2 linked regions of the Caenorhabditis elegans genome follow. The protein of the gene in region 1 interacts with the protein of each later gene in a biochemical or structural test. Each region holds a gene or a part of one and is shown in the gene's direction. Other genes may lie near its edges.

Region 1 (6,131 bases):
CAGACACATTTCTGTTGACTCAATATTAATTATTTATTATTTATTATTCATTTTGCAAGGATGTGGTGTTCTTATTCCTATTTTTATATACTTCTCCTTTTTCTTTCAGAAATTCTAGAAATTATTTTTATGCTAATTGAGATGTACATTTGAGACATTTTCATGCCGTGATGACGTAATCTATCTGAATCTTGAGATATCTATGTACATTCTTGCTAATAACGTGAAAGGTGTCATATGTACTGAGGTCTACCTTATCATTTCCTGATTATAACATCATTGAAACATATTTTAGACATATTTTAATAAATTTCAGTTTTTTTTTGTCCTATCTGGTCAATAGTTTTTTCTACAAAAAAATAGACAAATAAGAATTAAATTCAGCTAAAATTATTGAGATATAGTGTTGAAGAATACGATAAAACGACGGTAATCTTTCATTCGATTAAATTCTAGAAACCAATCGCGTATCCAAAATCTTAAATTTTTATAATTAACAGTTAGCTAGAGTTTCTTTATTGGAACATACAATTAGCACAATACAATTGGAAAACTTCGGTTTAAAGAATCTGTAACAATTTTCTTTTACTTGATTTTGTTCAAGTTTCTCAAGTTTTAGCACGTGCTCTAACCCTGCAATAAAAGTTTGTACTTTATTCAAGTATTCATATTGTACTTGTACTCTATCGTATGATCATATTACTCATGTCTAAAACTTCGGTAGACACGCATTTTTCCAACATTTTTCTTCCATAAATTCCTGTTATCTTGCAAAGTTCATTTGTAAACTAATACAACACATGTCTGGCTGATTTGACCTTTCTCATTGAAATTGATGGATCATGTGTCAAAATGGGACCACTACAGATCACTAGATACTACTATCACTATATCACTATTTAAACATGGCAGATTTCAAGAAAGTTTGCCACATTTTCAGATGAAATCATCTTATTAATTTTGATTTCGAAAACAGATATTAGCAGCCTACCTTCTGGATTTTTCGGTTACAATGTACCTATTTATTAATCAAAAACTATCACTTCTGCATTTTGTAATCATTCCCCAATCATCCTTGTGCGAAAAATAGGATAGTTCTTCAAGTTTTTCCCTTCCCTATACTTTTGCCATATATTTTTTTAATTCCCACTGGACTTTCCCAAAAGAATTATTTTTCGAATATACCACACTTTTAACAAATTTTCTGGATTCGGAAACATTATATTTTTTTTTCTACAAAACCGCAAAGACTATAGTCATTTTTCGAGGTCAACAAACATCCAAATATCATTGCGAGCATCCTATGTTCCTCTAATTCTCTCATACTTTGCTTCCGAAAACCCAAGAATCACAAAAAAATCTTGTTTGATCTTTGCCTTATTTTTCCAACTGCTAATTGACCTTCTTCGTTTATATAATTTTTCACTTTATAGAAATTTACTTTTTAATCAATTTCAAACAACAAAATTTGATACACTTTCTTAATATTATCCTTCTCCTACATTCTCATAAATTTGAAGGTTTCTCTTTCAACATTTCTGATCTAAAAAATGTGCGAGAAAATACATTCTTGGTTTCTTCATATTCATTTATTTCTCCGAAATATGTTCTCTTTTTCTTTGTTTTTAATTTTCGGTTTTCTATGAACAAGTGGTCTTCCTTATTTGGAACACTTCCCCAAACTCTTTCCGAATAAATTGTTTTAAATTTCAGATCGAACGATTCGTCATCTAATTCGTGAGCAAATATGGACGAAGGAGGGGGTATTGGAAGCAGTTTGCTCTCCAGAATCACGACGACAGCCTCTGAAATTATGATGCGAAACGAACCGACGACAACTGAAAATCCAGCTGTTCAAGAAATGAATCATATTTATCATTTGACACCAAGTATGAAGGTGAGACTTTTAAAAAATATTCTTATACATTCAAAGTATATCTAAAAATCCAAATTTTACAAGAGTTTTGAAACTTTGAAAAAAGGAACTAAAATTAGTTTTTTTTACATTTCATATTTAGGCAATTTGGCCATGTTTTTAGCCAATTTTACCTGCTGAAAATTGATTTTAACGTGCCATGTACTTTTATTTTAGTTAATTTATGATAGCGTTTTCTTCAAAACTTGAACCGTAAATAAAAAGTTTTGAAAATTTTTCAAGTGCTATCATTATTAAAATTCGGTATAATTTTTAGAGGCCATTTTAAGTGTAAAAAATGAATAAAATTACTACATTATTACCTTTAATATTTGTACCTATTTATTACTAATTTTTTACAGATGTTATGTATTCTTTTCTATAGTATACTTTGCGTATGCTGTGTCTATGGAAATGTGCTCGTTATTCTGGTTATTGTTTATTTTAAACGACTTCGAACGGCGACTAATATTTTGATATTGAACTTGGCAGTTGGTGGGTTTTGTTACTTTTGAATTTTTGAAAACTTTTTATAATTTTTCAAATCTCCAGAACTTATATGAGCTTCTAAATGGATAAGTTTAAAAAATTAATTAATCTAAGATGTTGAGCAAATTTCCCAAAAAAACAACTAAAATTGCAGCTGATCTTCTCATATCAGTATTCTGCATTCCGTTCAGCTATTGGCAAGTATTGATTTATGATGATCAACGTTGGCTCTTCGGCTCAATGATGTGCTCTTTATTAGCATTCCTTCAAGCAATGGCTGTATTTTTATCAGCTTGGACACTTGTCGTTATCAGTTTTGATCGGTGGATGGCTATAATGTTCCTTTTAACTCCAAATATTCGAATTACAAGACGAAGAGCTCTTTATCTGGTAGCTGCCACGTGGATATTCAGTATCCTAATGGCGTTGCCGTTACTCTTCACAACGAGATTTTTCGAAGACCAAGACGGTTTACCGAATTGTGGAGAAAATTGGACGTATTTTGGAGATTCTGGAGAACAAGTGAGAAAAGTGTATTCTTCAATGGTCTTAATTCTACAATATGTTGTACCTCAAGCAGTTTTAATAATAACTTACACACATATTGGAATTAAAATGTGGAATAGTCGAGTACCAGGAATGCAGAATGGAGCAACAAAGAAAATGATCGTTGATCGACATGAAAGTGTCAAAAAGGTGAGATTTCTGGAATTATTAAAAATTTAAGCCTAACCTTTCAAAAACTCCCAGTTTTGATTTATTAGAATAATAAGAATATGGAAATAATGCAACAATCAATGGCTCCTCAGTGCGGTGATGATAATAATAACCATAATCAAAGTCAACCGACCCCTATATTTATAGGAACAATATTCTCATGTGTAGCATAAAAATAATAATCAAAAATCGTTTTTGACATAACCTTTTCCAAATCATTATTAAGTGAAACTTTAAAATTGAAAAAAATTAAATCAAAGTTCGAAGTTATTACATTTTACCTGCCTATTACATGACGGTTTGATAAAGTTGTTCAGTAGATTGAAATATCGTTTTTACTTATTTTTATCAAATACAATAAATATTACCGCGTGAGAAACGAAACCTGTTAATTAAATAAGATTTTTAGCTGGTCCCAATGGTGATTCTCATTTCGGCACTCTTCGCACTTTGTTGGCTTCCTTTACTTATACTGATCAACGTCATTCCAGAATTCTATCCAGATATCAACAGTTGGGGATATATTCTGTATTTGTGGTAAGAAATATTCTTTTAATCTGACTCAATAATTTGGTTTTAAAAATCGCATTTTGAGGTGGTTTGCTCATGGACTTGCCATGTCTCATTCAATGGTCAACCCAATTATCTATTTCATTCGAAATGCCCGTTTCCGTGAAGGATTCTGTTTCTTCTCTTCAAAACTTCTTCCATGTATATCATTTAAAGAACTTCGTCTTTTAACTGATAATACTAGCAGAAGGTATGTCAATTTCTACAAAGTTGTCTGTTTTTGAATTGAAGCCAAGAGTTAGGAGCAATTCAGTTTATTTATGTATCAACCTTATTTGTTGATAACCAGTTTGATAATTTTAATAACTCAACAATATCATTCAGTTTTCGAAACCGTTCACGGTTTTCTGGTGTCATAAATCCGACTTCAAGCGATGAAAAACCTGCTGTAAGGATGTTCTCTAACCCATGTTTTTTGTCCTTCTTGACTTTTTGTTTGGCTTGGCTTTTTTATTTTTACATTTTAAAGTTTATTTTGCACTGCTTCACATGCACTAATATGTTGATTAAGTTAATTTCATTTTAAATTATGAGTATATCGTATTTCCTCTTTTAGTATTGCACACCATTGTTCAACTTTGACAGTGTATATCTCAGTTATCATTTGTTCCATTTAAAAATTGTCAACTAACAAAATATTTTTTAGTTCTTTTTCTATAATTTCGTAGTTAAAGATATAATGATATATTCAAAATAAACCGATATATAACGTTACAAAGTAAAGTTGTCCGGTGCATTACTAAGAGAGGAAATACGGTACGTTAAATTAGCAAAATTAAAAATCTTCTAAGTCAGCCTAGGTCGTTCAGCGCAGTTAATTTGCGATGGACCCATCAGAATCCTAGAGCAGTGATTTATCTACACATCGTCAAAAAAATCGGACATTGCGCATACTGCGACTCGTAAGCTGCCTATAATGAGCACATTGAGCCAGGATTGCTATGAAATCATTGTGCTTGTTTACTGAGTCATTATGTGCCTGTCGCGAATTAACTGCGAACTAAATTTTGCCACCAAATGATAGAGGGAAAACCCCTACTACTGAGAAAGTGTTTGCCGATGAAGTTTAGCGAAACCTAGAACCATAAGAACTTGTAAGTAAAACTTTAAAAACAGTTTTTAAATTCAAATGCTTTACTTCTAAACCCTTTTTATTAATTAAACGCCTCAATTATATCCACTGCCTAGTACACATTTTCCAATCTGATTATTTCCACAACATCGACTTTCTTCCTAGCCACAACCTAATTTTCAATATTTTCAGACATCGCTTACGAGATATTCACGAAGTGGAGTCCTTGACAGGCAAACATGTCGTTCGGCACGTTTCTTCGAAGCCCGACCACTCGTCGTCGTCCGAAACAACTCTGCCAATTCTCTCGCGTAGCTTTTCCCGTATCATTAAGAAAATTGATCTACCATGTACTTGAGTGGAAAGCTATAGAAGACCATAGATTCAAGGTTTTTGTTATTTGAAATTGTATTTTAAAGCATAATTTCACAAATTATGTTTATATTCCATCCATTTTATTGTATTGTAAGAAAAAACCCCTCAGATCTCCTAAGAAACAATTTTATATGAAACATCAATTGTTGTCTGAAACGCTTTTCATACCGGTAAATACTCGCCCCACCAAATCCACGAATCATCACCAATATTTTAAACTTGTACCATACAAATTGCGTGTTTTCATTTTATTTGAATATTTTTTCAAAACTAAATGTAGAAATAAATGTTAGAATACTACAAATTTACATCTGACAGATTTAAAAGAATCCAATGAGTTGACTGAAATTTTGTAAACTGGCAAATTACTGAGCAATTCAGATAAATATTTGATTGATTTCGGTTTCAAGCTTGTAGTTCCACGTGTGAAGGTTTATTTACAGAGATTCGGCATTTGTCTATTTTTAGAAGGGATGCATTTTCCGTGAATTGTATGCAAGTATTTTATTAAAGAAAAATGAAATAAGCAGTCTTGATAGGCAGACACTTATATTTAAAGTATATAGTCACTCCAGAAAACAGACAAGAAAACAATCAAAGTGAACAATTTTTATGCATTTTCATTCAATCTTTATTCTTCAATTTTCTCATACACTTCACAAAAGTAAAGCATATGAAAACCAAAAAACACAAAACACCGTCAGCGACTTGTTGTATGCAGAAATAAATCAGAAATGATTGTCACTTATCCCTTTGTGTTGAGATGTTGTGGCGCCTTGTAAGCCAACTCGTGGACTCCTCCATTGTACAGCTTGGCAACGATTCCGGAACGAGCAGCCGCGAGCCAAATAGCTGAAGCTGAGAGTCCGATTCCGCAACCAATGACAACGGTGTCTCCGACTTTGATTCCCTTGGCGGCGAAGGCTGGAAGTATTCAGTTAACTTCTGCAAATGATATCAACTAACCTTGATCACAATCAGTCTTCTTCTTGA
Region 2 (3,533 bases), on another chromosome or scaffold:
AGTTTATGAAATGAAAATATAATAAAAACTAATATTTTGAAATGAAAATAAAACATTTTAGATTATAAAGATCAGTCCTGTCACTTGCAGGAAACACCACCTAGTATATAATTTTGAAAAAAAAATTAAATCAGAAAATGCCCAATGTTTCATGAAAAATGACTGAGTCATCCATCACTTTTTGCACAGCGTTTCCTTTTTCAGTTTCATTCAATTTCCGGTACCTTTTCTCATTTGAAACGAAAATTTCACAAAAAAAATTGACAAATAAAATTGAAAAAAAAAAACGAACCCTCAGGAAATTGAGCATAAATATTATGTGATCATTGTCGCATTCTTGACTCATTTCTTTGTTTTCATTGCATTAAATTTCTCTATTTTTTCATTATCTAACTTTTTCAGCCTTCTAGCTTTTTTCAGCCCAACAATTACTACCCCTGAAAAGTGAAAAAAACGCGTTTTATTTTTTTCAGGAGCTTTTATGGGGGAAGTCTCTGAAAATTGGCAATTTAATTGTTTTTCTTTACATCCAACAAGATTATCAAAATTGAGATCAAATTTCAAAATCTGGCAACTCTCGTTACCCATTTGACCCACCGAAAAGGCGGCAACTTTCTTTTTGGGAGGTGTGACGTCACGCTACTAAACATGAGGATGCCACGTGTTACTGTAGTTAAAACTATACTATCCACGAGGGCATCATATAGAAAAGACCCTCGCTTTACTTTATTCAAAAATTTAATTTAATTATTTTCAAAAAGAAAGGCATATCACAATACGTTTACATTATAATAAAAGTTTTTATATCACATCATTGTTTTCCAATATCACATGCCTTCTGGGACTATAATCCCAATTACTTTTACATTTTTTTTCGGTTAGAAAATGTGAATAGAGCAGAGCGTGAGAACAAGGATATATTGTATATTGGCACTTGTTTTCAGTATATTTCTCCTTCTTCTTTTTCACCCACCTAACAGTTTTCTCGTTTCTCTCGCTAAGAGGGAAATTGAATCTGATGGCAAGAGAAGCATCTTCATTCCACTTGACGGTTTCCTTTTGAGCAGTGAATGTGGAAAAATTGAATTGGAACCACACTTTAGTGATCACAACAATATCAACGTTTTTTTTTGCGAGGGACATTCCCAGAGAAGTCACAATCTTTTCAGTGAAAATTTGAGTGTTCATACCTATTAATTTTCGGGGAAAACTTACATTATACTTTTAAATGAAAACTATATACTCTTAAAATGACAAAGATCATTTGAAAAAGCCTTCCGGAAACCGCATATTAGTTCTGCTCAATTTGAAATAAGTAGTTCCTGAACTAGAGTTATATGATTGTTCACTGAAAAAACAGATGAATCTGAATATGTTGATCTTATTTTTAATTGCAATTATTTATTTATGAGCCCTCATTCAACTGCTTATGGGAACGTTTTGTTGTCATATAACCAACAAAAACAAAGAAAGGAAATTGAAAATATTCTGAAAATCATAATTTCCTCGGAACAATCTGTTGTTTTTATTTTCCTTATAATAAGTGAATATTCTCAATGAACTCAATAACCATTAAAGTTTTATTTTCATTTTTCGCCGTTGTACTCTAAGCTTGCAAGTTATCAGGATCCTCTGTATGCTTCAAAATATCATTTTAAGAAGTCAAACTAACTTTATGACAAACTAAACTAATGGCTTTGCGTGACGTCACACATTGACAACATATGACTTATTGATAGTCATACCTGCAATCTCTATATTCGATTGTCTACCTTCAACTTCAATAAATATTACCAAATTAAGTTTTATTTCAGGATATACACAAAAATGAACCGTTCCATGATTGCCCTTTGTGTTGTTTTGATGGTATCATTGGTGTCGGCTCAGGTCTTCGATTTGGATGGACAACAGTTGGCTGGTCTCGAACAGAATGATGCACGTCTTATGGAGCAAGTATGTTTATTGGCTAGACTTCGATTCTGGGAATTTGAGCGTCAAGTTTCTTGTACTACGATAGATGACAGAACAAAACTATAAAGTTTGATCTACTATTAGTTTTGCTCAATATTTAAGTATCAACAACCATTATCATTATCTAACTTTTCTCGTCCTAATAATTGTATATAGCGAACACAATGGTTTAGGTAAAGAAAGTTCAGGAGCAATATTAGGTGTCGAATTTCATTTTAAATTTCTCACATTTATAGCAAGTCAAACGGTCCCCGTCAGCCAAATGGATGCGATTCGGTAAAAGATCACCATCAGCCAAGTGGATGAGGTAAGGCGAGGGAGCTGAAACCGTGGGAAATTCAAAACGTTTTCTTTTGTGAAAATGACATCAACTTTTGAAGAATAATGTTTTTTTTTTCAAAAGTTGTTTGTGGGGGAGATGGGGGGAACACATAAAAGTTAGTTCTACAATTATAAGAATTTATGCTGGCTGAATGAGAATTTATAGGACATAAAAATATTCTCAAGTTTTTGGAACTTTTGTCATAAAAGTTAACTCCAATAGCTCAGCATGAACATTCAAAAACTCGAAAAATTTTAGCATAAATAAATTGAATTCTCATGTAATCCGGAACAATACAATTTTTAGATTCGGAAAACGATCTCCATCAGCAAAATGGATGAGATTTGGAAAGCGTAGTGGAGCTGAAGCAGTTTCTGAACAGGATTATTAATTTATTGTTTATATTTTGTTTACTTCTATCACCTTTTTTTCCCATCGACCTAGAAATCTGACCCATCTTCTTCTCGTTAATCACTCGACTTGGAAATTTTATTTTGTGGCTTAAAAATAATATTTTTGGACAAAAATACATTATTTTTGTTTCAGGATACAACTGTGTAATGGCTACTGAATAAATGTGATCTTTGTTAGTGTCAATTAGTGTCAATAGAAAGCGACTTTTGTGTTCACAAATGATGTGAGACTAACTAATTACACGATCGTGCACGATGCTACCCAGTTTTCCGAAGAAATCTGTCTTTAGAGACATGTTTTAATTTTTGTTCCGGTAAATGAAAGCGGGAATATTTTTCCAAAAACATTGTGACGTCAGCACGCTCTTAGCCATGTGAAATCAGATGAGATGACTGCGTCTCACTTCCCGCATTTTTTGAAGATCAAAGCGAAATAAGACATTCTGACTCCATGTGCATAAACACAAATTGGTTTTATTATTTTGCAAATAATTTTTTTTAATTCTCAAAAACTTTCGATCTATTTAAATACAGTTTTATGAAAAAGTTTTAAAACTACTGTGTACGCATTTTTACGTCAGTGTGTGCATTGCGTAAAAGACGTTAAATTATACGCAATATCAATGAAAATTGTTTTTTTTTAATTTTAATAAATTTTAAGTTTTTTAAATCACCTCAGGCAAACGAAACCCAAGTGGATCCCACTCAAAACCCAAGCGGATCCCACGGAAAACCTAAACCAGCCATGTCCACTTGGGTTTCGTTTGCCTGAGACATTTTTCCTTGTAAAATGGTTTATGCTGTTTTATTTTTTTGCATAGTACTGG

The links.
Region 2: of the proteins of npr-22 (region 1) and flp-22, one has a biochemical effect on the other in vitro, tested with the Caenorhabditis elegans proteins (one study listed by BioGRID).

The regions. Positions count from the first base shown.
Region 1 is NC_003282.8:8,557,721-8,563,851, forward strand, and holds npr-22 (Neuropeptide receptor 22), read left to right. Parts: upstream 1-1,711; 5' UTR 1,712-1,747; coding exon 1,748-1,897; intron 1,898-2,277; coding exon 2,278-2,410; intron 2,411-2,558; coding exon 2,559-3,100; intron 3,101-3,530; coding exon 3,531-3,658; intron 3,659-3,716; coding exon 3,717-3,881; intron 3,882-4,015; coding exon 4,016-4,079; intron 4,080-4,955; coding exon 4,956-5,078; coding exon of another isoform or gene 5,079-5,121; 3' UTR 5,122-5,441; downstream 5,442-6,131. Other genes in the region: mpst-6 (thiosulfate sulfurtransferase), read right to left, coding at 5,884-6,062, 6,105-6,131. UniProt on the Caenorhabditis elegans protein: Receptor for the LURY-1-1 and LURY-1-2 peptides which control food-related processes including feeding, lifespan, egg-laying and roaming behavior. Receptor for flp-7 which stimulates serotonin-induced fat loss.
Region 2 is NC_003279.8:8,657,085-8,660,617, forward strand, and holds flp-22 (SPSAKWMRF-amide 3), read left to right. Parts: upstream 1-1,814; 5' UTR 1,815-1,827; coding exon 1,828-1,953; intron 1,954-2,207; coding exon 2,208-2,278; intron 2,279-2,599; coding exon 2,600-2,684; 3' UTR 2,685-2,883; downstream 2,884-3,533. UniProt on the Caenorhabditis elegans protein: FMRFamides and FMRFamide-like peptides are neuropeptides. SPSAKWMRF-amide: Acts as a ligand for the npr-22 receptor in vitro.